Linked DNA regions of Xenopus tropicalis. The protein of the gene in region 2 interacts with the protein of the main gene of each other region in a biochemical or structural test. Links are inferred from orthologs where the notes say so. Each region holds a gene or a part of one and is shown on either strand. Other genes may lie near its edges.

Region 1 (5,827 bases), on a different chromosome or scaffold from region 2:
GGCTCTTGCACTAACCTATTTAGCTCTTTGTTGCAGTAAATGTTTAGCAGTGCTACAGTCTTCTCTTGCACAGAAAAGCAACCAAGGAATTGTCTCAAAACTATGCTTGAGCATCTATTGCACTAAGGAAATGTAAATCATGCTACCTCTCTAAGCTTTTAGAGGGAAAGGTAAACCACTAAAGTCTCCCTGTGACATTCAGAGCTGGGACACCACACAAGATAAATACTCGCACATGAACTTGAGACACGTTCGTTAAAGTATGAAATCAGTGTCTGTATGCATAGAAGGTGAACTTTATATAAAAACAAAAATTCACAACCTCATAACTGCCTGAGTGGCCAATTACACTAAACAGAGAAGAGTCTGTCACATACATGTTCCAGGCAGATTATTTTGCCATACACACAAAACAGCACACATTGTGATTTGCTGCTGAAGTTGCCTTGTCAGAGAAGCCAAAATCTAGGAAATGTAAAGTTCTGTCAAAACACAGTTCTGCAAGAACAGGAGTAGACTACTGTGATGCCATCTTTCATCTTCAAAGCACGCAGCTAACAGGTTTATTATTGTTTTAAAGGAAATATCACACAAGATTACAATGGTTAAAACACGGCTTGAAGATCTGAATTACTCAATAAGAAAAAAAAAAAAAAATGTCAGACACAACACATGCAGCAAAACATCCTCCTGCTAATTTAAGCTGCTGAATTGTCTAGTATAAACAGAGCAGTGCAACTAGTTGATTTGGAACGACTTGTACAGTGTTACAGTGGTAACAGGTATGCAACTTCACTTTTCTTCACACCACTGATTCTCTTTGCGTACCTAAAAGGAAAATAGCATAAAAGAGGTTCATTAATAAATACTCTTGTTGGAGTGGAGATATTGGCTGACACACTTGTAAAAGGAAATAAACTTAAGCGTATAAATATATACCTGAGCTTCTTCCTCCTCAGTAAAGTCGTTTTTGATGTTGAAGGTCTTTCGAATTTCTTCTGGCGTTTTTCCTTTAATCATGTTTGCAACTGTCTTGCAGGTGACATCAAGCAATCCTTTGATATCCAAATAGTTGGCAGCCTGAAGATAAAAAAAAAAAAAAAAAAAAGCAAAATCAAACCAGCCCCCAATTTTTTTTTGACCAGCAAGAACTCAAACCCACCCCTGATTTGCTCACACTCCCTTGTATTTGATATGGTACCAATAGACTGCAGAAAAGCTTATGAATTGGCTTAGAAGCAATATATGTTTATGACAATGACACAAAAGTTATGCAGCTCAATCAGTGCCACCAAGAATGTAGCATCCTTTAGGAGGAACTGGACAAACTGGGAGACTGGCCTGCTAAGTGGCATTCCAAAATATGCAAGGAGCTGGGGTGACTTGTGGAAAATAAACTTAGCTTTAGCAAGCAATGCCAGTCAGCGGAAGGAAGAGCCAGCAAGGTATACAGACTCAGAGGGGAAGTACATATTCCCACTTTAGAAAACACTGGCAAAGGCCCCATCTAGAATATGCAGTGCAGTATTGGTCTCAAATCCTTAAATGGATATTAATGAAATAGTAGCTCTTTTTGGACTCGCTCTAAATTAATGAAGGGTATTTTATGAGGAAAAGTTATCATACGTGCTTTAAGTGGCGTATAAGCACTACATATGAATATGCAAGTGTAATTTATGTATATAGGATTGAGATGAAAAAAAAAAAAATAGTTTCAGCCATTTTCAGTTTGGAAGTTAAATCTATGCTGACTGAGGAATATATGGACATGTGTATGTAAATTTTTAAAAATCTTTTATGAATTAGTGTATAAATTTCTAGTAACTGTTGTGTTATGTGTTAACAAGTAAAATGGCAGCCACGTTTTAATGTATGAATAAAATTATGTGTGTTAAAACTATATTGCTCAGAAGCAACATGCAGATGCCATGTGGATGCCTTTATTGAAGCCACTAAGGACAAAATTATGCACAACGTTTCATATATGTGGGCTCACCCTTACCTCTCAAGTGCAGGAGAACAAGCACACTTTGTTGGAACATGTTAATGGCAAGGTTTTTAAATATCAACTCTCCTACCTCTTTCGGACAAAAACACAAATAATTACTGGCTGTGTTGTGTGTGCACTACCTTCAGGCTGTGTTGTGTGTGCAATACCTTCAGACTGTGTGGTACTTTAAGTTGCAGGTTCCCTTTAAGGTTATTAATACTACTAAGTACAAGTACTAGAAATACACTTATGTAATTCTAATGGGTTCTATAAAAGCTGTTGGGTTTTTTGGTGAGCATGCCTCACCAAAATCAGTTCAAATAGTGTTCCCTGATCCACTTTTAAAAACTCTTGGTCCCACACAGGGATATCATCTGTTCTCTTCTCTTTGTTTTCATCGTCTTCGGGTGGAGGGGGATCATCTTTATGATGTGTACACCACTGAATGACCTGATGAAAATAAAAGTACATAGGTATTTATCTTTATGATTTATACAACTGACTGCATTTGTTGGCCAGGTCCTGAATCCAAGACAATGTGGTACTGCTAAACTTAAGATATGTTCAATTTCATCATTTTGTTGTTTATATGTTAATATAATTCAAGCTAGTAAAAAAAAAAAAAAAAAAAAAAGTAAATCTTGTAACAACCTACACTTGAAGAGCTAAACCAAAAATAGGAGCAATGTCCTCTACTGCCTGAATTAGAGAGCAAGTGTTTCTAGGTCTGAAACAGTATACATCATAACTCAAGAATATGAAACCCCAAACAGCAGGATGAAGTTCCTAATAACCAATAGTTCAGTTTTATTTTTTTACTTGCCAATATGCCTTAAAACCCTGGCATTTATAAGTAGTTCTTCTTCTGGCAGTGATAAGCAAATATAAATAATGTGTGTGTGTGTGTGTGTGTAGGGGGGGGGGAGGCTGTTGCAACTTTTTAATTAACACAATTCTGAATCTGGTACAATTTTTTTGTCCTAATTACATTGCATTATATCCCTGCAGCAAACCAACACCTCTAAAAAAAAAAAAAACAATCTCTAATCTGCATCCAGTATTCTAGTATGGGTATACGTAAAACCACTACCTAAATAGCACTTACTTTTTTAAGGATTGCAGCATTAACATTGGGAAGTGGCACAGGGTCATCATCACCTTCATCATCCATACCCAGATCTGTTTAAAAACATTTAATTGATAACTGTGTCTTGCCAAAAAAATGTAAAAAAAAACCCAAGATAATTTAGACAGAAAGGCAATGTTCTAAAACTATAGTCAAATAAGAGATTTCTCAAGAATTTACACAAAATAAATTTAAACACAACAGAAATATTACAACCAGTTCCTCTGAGGACAATTTTTTTTCAGCAAGACTGCTACTTATTTGTTATATTGGGATCACTGCTGTTATGAGTAGTTTGAAACGCTGTGTACCTGTTATGTAGTGAACAGCACCAAAACTTTTTTTTTTTTTAATAAAAAGCCCTTATTCCATCATTTCCAAATCCTGGATTGTACAAACAATGTTTTCTAAAGTACCCTGTGTACCTGTCTCTTATCAGTGTAAAAGGAGCTACTACCTAAAAAGATAATCCTCCACAAACCCAAGAAATTTCCCAATTTGAAAGTGGATGACAAAATGATTGGAATTACCCCTGACATTTCAATTGCAAATGTCTGTTCACCCAGGTGCACTCAAAGGTCATGCAAATGCTACATAGAAGAAAAATTCCCAGCAATATTGTTTCTGTAAAGGGATTGCTTTTGGAGAGAATCCACTCAATTGCCCAATGTGCCTTTACACCAACACTTTCAAAGCTAGGAGAATAAAAACAAATGAAGACCTGCACACCAGAGGACAAAATTATAAAGAATACATATTCAAAGAATTTTTTTTTAAAAAGTACCTTCCAACATAGTTTTAATTGTTACTGACTGCTTTGCAATTTCAACATCCACTTCAAAAATCTCTCCATCAGAACTCTGCAGCTTTATAGAAGGCATCTGAAAAACAAAAACACATTAATCAACACAAACAGTACTGCTTAGTGAAGTTACTGCAAGCAAAACAGAAAGAAAATCAATTGGTACTTTCAATGAGAGATGATCAGGAAGGCAGCTGTGAAACTCAAGATGCTGCACTGAAGCACATTTAAGCATGGTGAGCAGGAGAGACATGGGAACAAAATGGCAGCAAGCACAGCAAGTGCACTGCAGGCCATTGTAGGCAAGTAGAATCACAGAGTGGCTAACATGGCAACCACCCCCCCAGTGACTATACCTTTCCTTCTGCTTTAATGAAATGCAAACATCATGTTTCATGCCCTGGTTGTCAGTAAGGCAGGGCCAATAAAAATAATCATCTATACAACAGCCCTGGTGCCTGGTTGCTTCAGTCTCTGCCCAAGACCCACACCAACTGTGCAATATACAGTGGTCTGGCACGGCCTAATGAGCAAAGGGAAGAAGCTGCAGCTAGTAGGAATAAGAAGGGGCCTGCCAACTGTTGCCAGCACCCTGCCCTCCACTACCAGGAAGAGAATAAGGAGCTAAAAGCTTTGGGTCTCATCCGGAATGTGCAATTACCGGTACTCTGCAATTTTCAGAGAGCTGTGCAGGAATTGGGAAAATGCACTAAATTCTAACAGCTGTCAACCTGGCACTGCTCCTTTAACAGCCGACTGCAAATGGCTGGACAGCTGGAGATGGATGAACCCTTGTTAACACTGGCCACCATTAGTGTGCACGCAGTACACAAAGGGAAAGTGTCTCTGGCATATATGATGTGGGAAAGACTTACTGAGCAGGTATAACTATGGAAGCAGAACAAAGTAATTACCAACAAAGGGTGTCATTTTACTGCTGCAGTATGACTTTGCCAATAGCAGCCAGGATAATGGCAATTGCCAAGCTCCAAATCTGCATTAGAGGCCATTTGCCCATCCTGCCCAGAAAAAGAATCTGTACATCAATAGTTGACATACAGCCAATTACAGAGAGGACATTTGCTATCCCTGAGCCATGCTTTTCACTCAGCCTCATTTTAAACAAAGGCTTTATGAATTAAAATAACAGAAGTTTGGCCTAGACAGCAACATACAGAGCAGAGTGACTAACAGCACAAGGCAATAGGAATTACCATATTCTGTTAAAAAGAGGACTGGTTATTAAATATCTTAGAGGGGACAGAGTGTACTTGAAATCTTAATTGTGTAGTTAAGCACATTTTTAATCTTACAGGTATGGGATCTAGATTAAGGAGACTCATTATCAAGAAAGCTTTTGGAAATGCCATTTTATTATTGTTTGACCAATTTCCTTTTGCTCTATAATAGTGGATATTTCAAAACGGTGACTGATCCCCTACAAGTTCCATGTGAGAGTCCACTGTGCCCAGGTAAACAAATATACTGTTTAATTTATTATAACAAATATAATGGTTTATAAGGAGTGGGTCCAGCCTACATGGACTTGTCAGACGAGAATGGCATCAAAGTGACAATGCAGTCTTTGCCATGTAGGATTTTCAACCCTGCCGAATATATATCTAATTTTGTTTGGGTATGGATGGGCTGGGTCAGCAGGTGTTAAGACAATAGTTGACTGAAAAGTTTTTCATATACTTTTTCAGGCACTCTACATATTGTAGCCTTCACCATTCCCAGCTACAGTCTGTTGATCTCAATGGTGGCCAATAAAAAGTGCAACAATTTTTTTGCACTAAAAGGAAGTAAACTGCAGGTAAAAATCAGTCCCTGCGTACTAATGTATAATGAAGCAGTAAAATACTTAATAAATAATATAAAAGTCAGTACGGGAATTAAATTTGGCATA
Region 2 (5,382 bases):
AATGCAAAAATTGCATTTTCAGTACCTATGCAAAATAATAAATAAGAAATGGGAGGGTTGTGGGGACTAATTTAACTGTAGAAAAAAAGTACTGACAGTCTTGTTAAAGGGGTGGTTCACCTTCAAGAAATCTTTTATTATGTTATAGAATGTCCTATTCCAAGCAACTTTGCAATTTGTCTACATTATTTATAGTTTGTTTTTTTTTAATTATTTGCCGCCTTTGTCTACATCTTTCCAGCTTTTACATGGGTGTCACTGACCCCGCTAGCCTAACTTTTTCTCTTTGAGGCTACAACTTTATTTTCATTGTTATCTTTTTATTTAATCCCTCTTCTATTCATATTAGTGTCTCATTCACAACACTGCCTGGTTGCTAAGACCCTAGCAACCACATATCTGCTGAAATACCAAACTGGAGAGCTGCTAAACAAAAAATGAAAACCAATTTCTAATTGTCTCGGTATATCAATGTCTACATCATACTTAAAGGTGAACATGGCTTTATTAGTTCATAGGAAACAAGTACATTGTCAGTGTATGGCTTCTCTTATACAGTCTGAGCAAATGTTAGGAGATCACTCATTATTATAATGTGACCTGCAGGGCTACACATCACATAAGAAAGGATTGCATAACTAGAATATACTGTAATTATGAAGAGAAGCAGGTTGTCAATAGCCACGTTCCTTGACAGTGTAGTCTTGTAGAAGGCTAAAACTGCTAGCTGAGGCTAGCTAACATCTTTAAGAAAAACAATGGGGTAAATAATTATACTTTCAACTCTTCAAAACATTTAAATTATAAAGGGTTTAATAAACTTTTTGATTCCAGCCTGAGCACTATCTGCAAGGTGTTCTTGCATGTGTGGGTTACCTCCTATACATACCACATACCCAAATTAACTGACTGAGATTTAGATTTGCTTAGACTGATGTGAATGATGCGTAATATGTTGCTCCTATATAATTAAAGGATAGTAGTAATAAAAACTCAAGGACCAATAACACCAGGAAATGTAAAGGTATCATTAAAGCATTAGCAAATAAATCATCAGCAGGTCAGCCAAGCCACTCCTTTCCACTTTTCACCACTTCTCATAATAAGACCTCTTCTTCTGGTACAAACCAGTGTGTATGCTGGTACAACTGTATCAGTTTCCATTAAAAAATAACAAAAAAAAGTGTATAATTTACAGGTTAACATAAAATATGCCTGAATTTGTGTGATTCCACTTCTTTAACAACCTATATGTCTGTAGATACACTAAATTACTATGAGTGTTGGACACATTTTAAGAGCAATAAAAGTGCTTCTGGCAAGAGCTGAGGGTATTTACCATTTATAGTGTACCAGAAACAAATCTGTTAAAGGAGGTACGCTGGTTACTATCTAGAGCAGGCATTTTTTTTTTTTTTTTTTTTTTTTTAAGTAAAGGGGTAGTTCACCTTGTATTTATCTTTTTAGTATGATGTTGGCATTCATATTCTAAGACTACTTTCATTTTTATTTTTAGTGGTTTTTAAATTATTTAGCATTTTTTTCCAGAAGTTCTTCACTGTGGAATGTCAGCAGTTAGTTGGTTGCTATGGTCCAGTTTACATAGCAACCAAATTGGAATATGAATAGGAAAGTGTATGACAAGAAAGATAATAAACATTAACAATTGTAGCCTCACAGAGCAATAGTTTTTTGGCTGATAGACTCAGTGACCCCCATCTGACAGCTAGAAAAAAACTAGAATACAATTCAAAAACTATAAAAATGAAAACCAATTAAAAAGTTTCTAAGCGCAGTGCATTCTATAATATACTTAAATTTAATTTAAATGTGAGCAATAACAATATAGTCAATATTGTACAATCCACAGATTGTAAGACACAGCTACTTGGATGTGCATGGTGGTAGCAAAGAGATTAGATGTTCTTTGTATGTCTTTGATAATTGTATTTTTAAGTTTGTGATTTAAATAAAGCTGGCCATACTTGCTGCAGTAAAAGCTGCTGAATAGGGCACTGCTGGATCCTTTAGGTCAGGGTTCCCCAACCTTTCTCACTCATGAGCCACAGTCAAATGTAAAAAGACTTGGAGAGCAACACAAGCACCATAAAAGTTTATGGAGGTGCTAAAATTGGCTATTAGGGAGCCTCTATGCACACTATCAGCTTACAGGAGGCTTTATTTGGTAGGAAATCTTGTTTTTATTCAACCAAAGCTTGCCCCCAAGTCAGGAATTCAAAAATAACTACCTGGTTTGGGGGCACTGAGTGCAACATCCAAGGGGTTGGGGAGCAACATGTTGCCCTGAGCCACTGGTTGGGGACCACTGCTTTAGGTCCACAGAATGATCTGATATTTGGATCTGCTCTTGGGTGGCAGAGATCCATGTTTAAAAGTATGGCCAGCATTTAAGAGTTTAGTTACTAATGCTGACAGATTTTATGAATTGCAGCGTTTATTGACTTGTAAGAAAAAAAATACAGGTCTATCGATTGCTTGGTAGTCTGAAATCTCAAATAAGGGAACATTTGAATCAAGTTTGCAGTTTCTGGCTATTTCCCCATGTGTGGCGCTCATTTCTCTCAGCTTGATTGCATAGGCAAAGTGGTTTTGCCTCCACCAGGAGTGGGATACATTGTTAAGATTTAGTTAAAGGATTTTTTGCCTGTGAAAGCAATTGGTAGCTAAATATTTCAATAACAATGTGCTCTTTACTCAAATATAAGAATATTGAACTCACTGAAGATTTAACTGTACTAAAGAAACCTGAAGTCACAAAACTGAGGTGGCTTCTAATGTCCATTTTTATTTAAATAGAGGCTACCTTATCCCTAATAAGCTATATCTCATATCCTTTCAGCAGACCTGCCAATTATGTAGGTATATATGCTTAGACTTCATTGTTTCTCATAGATTCTGTGATTTGCAATTAATAATGATCAGATTGCAGCTTAAGGACTTCACGATGAACAAATCCTGTCTGCACAGCTCTTAATTTGTAATTGCTTCCTTTTTTTGTTTTGTATTTGTGCCCTTTGGAGTCTTGATGGAAATATAGTATCTTCAATTTCAGTTTGGAGTATGACATATACATGTTGAAATCAATTTTTATTTCTAAATTTACATGAGCAAAATATTTTAAGGTAAAATTCAAATTTTGAAGTTGACATGATTATTGGCTAGTTCAAAATCTTAATAGCCCTATACTGTTCTACATATGTTGCATATGATGAGCAATACTCTCTATGAATATTTTTTTTTTTTATTCCTCTATCAACAGAGCTATCTGTTCCAGTTGCTCCAAGGTTTGGCTTTCTGCCACTCACATCGTGTCTTACATCGTGACTTAAAACCACAGAACCTGCTTATTAATTCTGAGGGTGCCATCAAACTTGCCGACTTTGGACTAGCTCGGGCATTTGGTGTGCCTGTGAGAACCTATACTCATGAGGTTAGTGTCTAAAGCATCTGGCCTCCCATAGTAGAACGTTTTATTCACTTATTTGAAAGTAAGAGCTCTATTTGTTTAAGGTGTGACTAAACATTTCACACCGCAGTTATCTCAGGTTCCCGTTATATGTTGGATATGATTTATAAACGCAAAAGAAAATGTCTGTATAATTATTATGCATGCAGCTGCAGTTTCAATGATCCATTATTCTTACTCTCTTTAGGTTGTCACCCTGTGGTACAGAGCACCAGAAATTCTTCTTGGCTGCAAGTTCTACTCCACGGCTGTAGATATCTGGAGCCTGGGATGTATATTTGCAGAAATGGTATAAACAGGTTTATACATATTGTTGCATTTCTTCTCAGTAGCTATAAATAGCTGTGTGGTTGATAGTTTTCCAAACAAAAGAAACATTTTTGCAATGCAGTTTTAATGTTTGTATGATACATATGGTTTACACATTTCTGCTTTTGTATTATTCTTGGAGAATATTTTGTCTAATATTTATTATCCTAACTGTGATAATGTATCATTTAGCTGCCCTTTTTGGTGTCTGCTGATTGTGTCTCTGCCTGGAGGAAAAAAATCGGAAATTGTTTAGCAAGAATGCAGGCCTAACATAGCAGAATTTTGTCGCCAAGATGAGAATAATGGCTGTAATGTATTCCACACAGCGTGACTTCAGTGTGGTTGAAATCATAAAAGCTTTGACCCAGTACTTCCTTCCTCTAAAATCTTGGATGTAAGAGGGTCATACTAGGGAGCTTTATGTGTGGTTAGAACTGCTGATAAAGGAATTTGTATCTTGAAGGGATAACTGGGATAATGATGGACTGTGGCTGTAATCTGTGGTGTCATTATAAATTCACTGGCGTGAACCTCGGTCACTGCCTGATTTAGCAATGACCACTTGGTGGTTGTGGTCTAAGGGTTTTACCTTGCAACTGGGCAACAGGCATCTAAATAGCCGAAGGTTATGCTCCACCTCTGTGTTGTAGATCAGCTATTAACCTATAACATTTTTGCTACAAGTCAAATACATTTTGTAATGGAAATTGCCACTCTCTGTGTATATTTCAAAATATAGCTGTTTTTTTCTGGTCATTTTAACTCTTAAATGGGAAAAATATGCAGTGGACCTTTGGATTAACGGCAAGGTCCATAGTGTTGTCCTGTTTAAAGGAGTACTAAACCCTAAAGATATGGTTGGAAAGCTGTATTTTATATACTGAACTTACTACCCCAGCCTGAAGGTTCAGCAACCCCTATAACAGTATTAATCCAGATCTTTGAAGCTCTCATAAGAGCTCACCATCTTGTATTCTGTTAGGAGTGTCAGTGACATGCACATTCTCAGACGTGTCTGACTAGCTGTTGAGAACTTAGGGGGTCGTCTCAAATTATTTCTGAACTGCAATGTAAAAGAAATCAGAATTAATTACTAAATTATCCTTGTTTCTGGTTTCATAGAGCCAGATGTTCCTTGTTAAAGGGCTGTGTTGGCCTTTGGTTCGTACAGAACCCCTAAACATAATGTGCAGCATTTTCATTCTTTAGTACTACTTTAAATGTAGTTAAATTAGATTTTAAAAAGTGCAGCTATATCTATAGCTACTTTAATTTTGTTTCTTCAACATAAATCTTTCAACTACATTTAAAGTAGTACTAAACTAACTATAACACTCCTTTTTTAATCTAGTCTGAACTTAAATGCATTTGTTTATCCCTTATGCTAGATCACTAGGAGAGCACTTTTTCCTGGAGATTCTGAAATTGATCAGCTCTTTCGCATCTTTCGAACACTGGGGACCCCTGATGAAGTGTCCTGGCCAGGAGTGACAACTATGCCAGATTACAAGTCAACCTTTCCTAAGTGGGTCCGACAGGACTTTAGCAAAGTGGTGCCACCTTTGGATGATGATGGTAGAGAC
Region 3 (5,871 bases), on a different chromosome or scaffold from region 2:
TAAGCTGTATGTCCAGAATAGGTTTTACTTGCAGCAATCAATGTCGCCTGCAGTAGCACAGATTTACCTCAGGCAACAAATCTCACTGTGTGCCAATCCCTTAGGGCTCTGGCACACGGGGAGATTAGTCGCCCGTGACAAATCTCCCGTGTCTCAGGCGACTATTCTCCCCGAGTTGCAATCACCTGCCACCCCATCGGCAAAAGTGTAAGTCGCCAGTGAGATGGCACACGCGGCGGCGCGATTTCAGCGAGATCGCGCAAGTTGCCTTGAGAGGAAACTTGCGATCTCACTGAAATCGCGCCGCCGCTTATGCCATCCCACCAGCGATTTACATTTTCGCCGGTGGGATGGCAATCCGGGGAGATTAGTCGCCTGAGACACGGGAGATTTGTCACGGGCGACTAATCTCCCCGTGTGCCAGAGCCCTTAAAGTACACTCTTTGAGCAGTTCATCAGAGGGCTTCTCAGTGGACTGGTAAATATATCAGTCCATCTGCTTGTCAGAACCAGAACTGACAGGAAGTACTAAAGTGAAACTGGATTAAGTGTATTTATTGCTGAAAATAACAAAACGGATTTCTTTATTAAAAGAAAAGTATTCAGATCAAGACCTAATTAAGCTCATTATGAAATAGCGCTTAAAGCATCCCTTTGTCTATGGAGACACTTATACTAGATTATTAAAACACTTATATAGTGCCAATATATTTTAATGCTCTTAGAAATTACACACCATTCACATCAGTCCCTGCACTAGTACTGCTTAGTCTGTCCCTATCACAATAGTGTTTATTATATACATATGACCAATTAATCCACCTGTATGTTTCTATAAGACAGGAAAGATACCCATGTGGACACAGGAAGAACATACAAAAATCCATGCCACTGTGTGTTTATCCCATATCACCATTTTGCCTAAAGAAGCACCAACATGCAGCATTTCAAAACTGTGCCCCGCTCTACATCTCTGAACTCCTCAAACTGCTTGTTACGCTCTATTGATCAATGCAACACCTCATTCATTATCTCCTCACAAATGAGACTTTACTAGGGCTGCACCCTCTTCTCTGGAATTTACTCCCACATGATGTCCAACTGTCTCCCAGTCTTCCTGCCTTTAAAAGAACTCTCAAGCTTTTCTAAAGAAATGTTCTATTAAATTCCATGCTCTATGCCACATATTTTACCTTAGATTGTAAGCTCTTTCAGACAGAGCCCTCTACCTCTTGCATGGGCTAACTGCTTTATATGTACATCTTTCTACCTATTGAAGAACTCACTTTTACAATGCATTGCCCTTTGTACCTCCATGCATCGTCAAATAGTGATTAAAGTCCCCTCTACTGTAAAAAAAAAAAAAAAAAAATACATGTAGGGACCTATAGGGTTAACATGCCCCTATGGCTTTAAACCCTGCAGCTTCCTTGGCTTGTGCAGTTACTGGGCAAAGACCCATGTATCAGTTTAGAGTTTTGCATATGTGCCTTATTGGTTACCAGGGAGACCACTCCCTTGGCACACTGATATAGTGCTTAGCAGGGGGGTGTGGCTTTCTCTTTGGCTCCATCTGCTGACCCAGGTGGAAGTTCCACTGAGCCTGGGATCAACAGGGACCCAGTAAAGTGATTACCGTAGAGTCTGCATCGACTCTAGAGAAGTCAGTGACAGGGACCCTGTGAATGAGGACCAGTTAGATAGCATGTTGTGTTGAGCACTTTCTAGGAAAGCGAGATAGTGAGGGAAGGAAGCAAGGGCAGTTTGGCTCCACCAAATAAAGTAGTTTTGGAAGTACACTTCCAGACAGGCACTGTTGCCTTAGCGTAGGGCCACGGTTAAGGGCTCTCCCAGTGTGCCAGAGCCCTTAGACATAGAAGGCAGGCAGTATCAGAACCCTTATCCAGAGTTGCTGTGGGAGCCTGAGGGCTAGAGGTGTTCAACCTGAGGAGTGTGGTATCCAATCTGACTGTTCCAAAGGGTGGATAAACTGAACCAGTGGCACGGACCCTGGCCAGACTCAAGAGGAGTTGTGAGGAATGGATGTGCACCCTCTGTGCTGTCTGCAGAGAAATGCTATGCTAAACTGCTGTGAGTATATTACACTTACCCTGCATATTGATATATAACCATGCATATCTCTAACAATAAACTGATTCTATTGTTCAACTGCAAGAACCTTCTGGCTCTCATTTGTTATTCTGAACTGCACACAGCTACAGTGGGTTGTAGTTGCACTACACCATAGCTCGGTTTGGTCCCTTCTACATAGTTGGCTGGGTTACAGCCAAAAAAAGTGTTACATGTGTTATAAATCAGACATTCCATAGCCCAACTCCAAGGTGACTTCGAATATCCTCATTTTACAACAGTGGGTACTTTATTACAATACACAAGTTTATGCAAGTCATGTGACAAATTACATGAACAGGCACCATTTATAAAGATATCTTTTATGGGATATTTATGGCACTTGTGTGTATTTTTTTTTTATTTATTTTGAAACACATGTACGGGATCCCTTATCCGGAAACCTGTTATCCAGAAAGCTCCAAATTACAGAAAGCCTGTCTCCAATAGACTCCATTTTAATCAAAGTTCAGAATTTTAAAACAGATTTCCTTTCTCTCTGTAATAAAACAGTACCTTGTAATTGTTCCCAAAATATAATTAATCCTTATTGAATTCAAAACAATCCTATTGGGTTTAATTAATGTTTTATTGATTTTTTTAGTGGATTTAAGGTACGGAGATCTAAATTACAGAAAGACCCCTTATCCAGAATACCCTTGGTCCTGAGCATTCTGGATAACAGGAGATAGATATAGGTAGATATATTCTCTATAGATAGATACAGAGATAGGTTCTCTATAGAGAACCTGAGATATATCTCTGTATCTATCTATCTATCTATCTATCGAGAATATATCTACCTATATCTATCTATCTCCTGTTATCCAGAATGCTCAGGACCAAGGGTATTCTGGATAAGGGGTCTTTCTGTAATTTAGATCTCCATACGTTAAATACACTAAAAAAATCAACAAAACATTAATTAAACCCAATAGGATTGTTTTGCATTCAATAAGGATTAATTATATCTTGGGATCAATTACAAGGTACTATTTTATTACAGAGAAAAAGGAAATTAGTTTTAAAATTCTTAACTATTTGATTAGATAGATAGATATATCTATCTAGACTATTTTATATATATCTATATATATTTAACTCTTCCTTCCTGATGATAAGTGCAGAGGTAAGAATGGCAGCTCCAGCTGATAGGCACATGGCTATTTACACGTGGAGATATTGAAACAATGGCACATGTTACAGGGAGTTGTAGCTAAATAGGAGCTGTACAATGTATGTTAGATATTGATGGGTGCAGGGAGTTGTAGCTAACAGAACCTGCAGGTGGTATTATAGATATAGGTGGTATTATAGATGATAAACTGGAGCAATATTGGCTTCAAAGTTTAGGATAACTCTGGGTAGGGAGGTAATATGAAGGAGAGATGGAGGCGGAAGCAGTTAAAGAGCATTCATTTGGTGCAGCTTGTACCTGGGGGAGGGAGAAGGAATCTATATTCCACATAATGTGGTAGTGGTAGCAGGAGGGGAGCCATAGAAAGGCAAAGGGCAGCAGCAATGAATCCATGCTTTCGGCTCCTGCGCCCAGGAGCAGTCTAACCGTGAGGAAGGAGCGGGGACATTCCAACAAAAGCCCGGGACAGCGGGCTGAGTGACGCAAAACTGGGCTGTCCCGTTAAAAGCAGGACACCGGGGAGCCATGAACAAGTCAGCGGAACGTGTGACGTCTATATAATATTTCCCAAAAAAAACCCGTGGCCGAGTTTCAAAACCCCTGGTACTGTATACATACCAAAGAGAAAATTCTGAGGGCGCAGGGGAGCAATGCTATCCATATCCATGGAGTCTTCCATTTTGTTCCAATTCAATTCAGATGTACCCCCTCTACTCTACAGCGGCACGGACGGATTCTGAGAACTAATGGCGCGCAACGTGTCTCTATATGTACGGGCCTTTTTCTCGCGAGATTTCACGCCATAGAAAGGCGGGGCTATTTTCCCTCAAACAAGTAACGCAGTTTACGATTGGCTAAACACGTTCTGCTGTGAGGTATGTGATTGCGCAAAACGAGCTGTGGGTTTATAGGAATTTAACGTGACCCACCATGTGCTTGTTTGTAAGATAATGGCAAGGAGTTCACGTTGTGTAGGCCTGTGTCCATAGCAGAGATTGTTAAAGGGGATCTCTATCCCTGAACTCTTTTTGTGTATAATTAATGTAATAATTAATTTTAGTAACGTTCTCATATGCGGGCTTTAGACATGTTTACTGGTTTTAAACTGCTTTTGATATAATATGGAAAGTGAGATACTAGTCTGAGGCAGTGCCTTTTCTGCTATGGGTGTGGCTTTGATTATAGGCCACTTTTACTTTTTACACTAATTTCAGCCTAGCAAAATAAATGTGGAATGGTTTTAAAAAGAAAAAAATGGATCTGAAAGGTGTATTTAATGCCAATCAAATTATTTAATGTCAATTAAAAATGTTCATATACATAGGGACCTTAAGGTCCCCATACATGGGCCGATAGAAGCTGCCGATATCGGTCCCTTGGACCGACTCGTCAGCTTATCGGCCCGTGTAGGGGCAGAAACGAGCGGACTGGCCGACCAATATCTGGCCTGAAATTGGCCAGATATCGGTCGGCCAGGTTAGAAAATCCCGTCGGTTCGGGGACCGCATCGGCTCGTTGATGCGGTCCCCGAACCGTATGCCCCATTGCCGCGTGCAGAATTCGATCATTTGGCCCTCACCTACATGCCTCCCCGATATCGCCACCCGTAGGTGGGGATATCGGGTGAAGATCCGCTCGCTTGACGACATCGCCAAGCGAGCGGATCTTCCTGTGTATGGCCACCTTTAGCCTTTTTATTTCCATTCAGGAAACATGTTAGCCCTTTCATTGGGGTTTAAGAAAGATCTGTTAGCCCTTTTATTGGGAGCCACATAGGGGTTCAGGAAACCTCTGTATTTTCAGATGATCTCTCCTAAACAAGCTGCATTTATATGAGAGATTGTACCCCTATTTAAAGTGCGATACAGCACACACATTAATATACTTTAGAATATAAAATCTTCCATCTCCTTTACCAGTTTAGTTGCAGTCTCTGCACTCTCTCCAGCTCATTAATATCCTTCTTAAGGACTGGAGCCCAAAACTGCACTGCATACTCAAGGTGAGGCCTTACCAGGGACCTATAAAGAGGCAAAATTATGTTCTCATCCCTTGAGTCAATGCCCTTTTTTATACAAGACAGCACTTTATTTGCTTTAGTAGCCACAGAATGACATTGCCAGGAATTACACCGCTTGCTATCCAGTAATGTATCAGCCCTGTCTGGGCCCAGGCACAGGATGTGCACACAGGCTTAGTTTTCCAGATTAGTCAAATCGCTCTGCAAAGCGGCAGCATCCTGCATGGAATTTATAGCTTTGCACAATTTAGTGTCGTCAGCAAAGATAGAGACAGTACTGTCTATGCCCACCTCCAGGTCATTAATAAACAAGTTAAAAAGCAAAGGGCTAAGGACTGACCCCTGCGGTACTCCACTGACACTGGTCTAATTAGAGACTGCTCCATTTACCACCGCTCTTTGTAATCTATCCTTCAGCCAGTTCTCTATCCAAATGCAAATTTTATGTTCTAGGTCAATATTCCTTAATTTAAGGAGTATCCTTCTGTGTAGTACTGTATAAAATGCTTTAGCAAAGTCTAAGTAAATCTACTGCCATCCGAGAGTCTAGGTTCCTCATAGAAGAAAGTTAAATTAGTCTGCC

What was found.
Region 1: the proteins of cdk2 (region 2) and skp1 are reported together in a solved structure, tested with the Homo sapiens proteins (2 studies listed by BioGRID, with this or other methods). The link is inferred for Xenopus tropicalis from reciprocal best matches to the Homo sapiens genes CDK2 and SKP1.
Region 3: of the proteins of cdk2 (region 2) and npm1, one has a biochemical effect on the other in vitro, tested with the Homo sapiens proteins (2 studies listed by BioGRID). The link is inferred for Xenopus tropicalis from reciprocal best matches to the Homo sapiens genes CDK2 and NPM1.

Annotation. Positions count from the first base shown.
Region 1 is NC_030679.2:26,567,059-26,572,885, reverse strand, and holds skp1 (S-phase kinase-associated protein 1), read right to left. Parts: upstream 4,000-5,827; 5' UTR 3,998-3,999; coding exon 3,901-3,997; intron 3,170-3,900; coding exon 3,096-3,169; intron 2,441-3,095; coding exon 2,297-2,440; intron 1,081-2,296; coding exon 940-1,080; intron 829-939; coding exon 793-828; 3' UTR 534-792; downstream 1-533. UniProt on the Homo sapiens protein: Essential component of the SCF (SKP1-CUL1-F-box protein) ubiquitin ligase complex, which mediates the ubiquitination of proteins involved in cell cycle progression, signal transduction and transcription.
Region 2 is NC_030678.2:137,878,594-137,883,975, reverse strand, and holds part of cdk2 (cyclin-dependent kinase 2), read left to right. Parts: intron 1-3,280; coding exon 3,281-3,451; intron 3,452-3,674; coding exon 3,675-3,776; intron 3,777-5,187; coding exon 5,188-5,382. UniProt on the Homo sapiens protein: Serine/threonine-protein kinase involved in the control of the cell cycle; essential for meiosis, but dispensable for mitosis. Phosphorylates CABLES1, CTNNB1, CDK2AP2, ERCC6, NBN, USP37, p53/TP53, NPM1, CDK7, RB1, BRCA2, MYC, NPAT, EZH2.
Region 3 is NC_030679.2:20,061,702-20,067,572, reverse strand, and holds the start of npm1 (nucleophosmin), read right to left. Parts: upstream 4,000-5,871; 5' UTR 3,948-3,999; coding exon 3,887-3,947; intron 1-3,886. UniProt on the Homo sapiens protein: Involved in diverse cellular processes such as ribosome biogenesis, centrosome duplication, protein chaperoning, histone assembly, cell proliferation, and regulation of tumor suppressors p53/TP53 and ARF.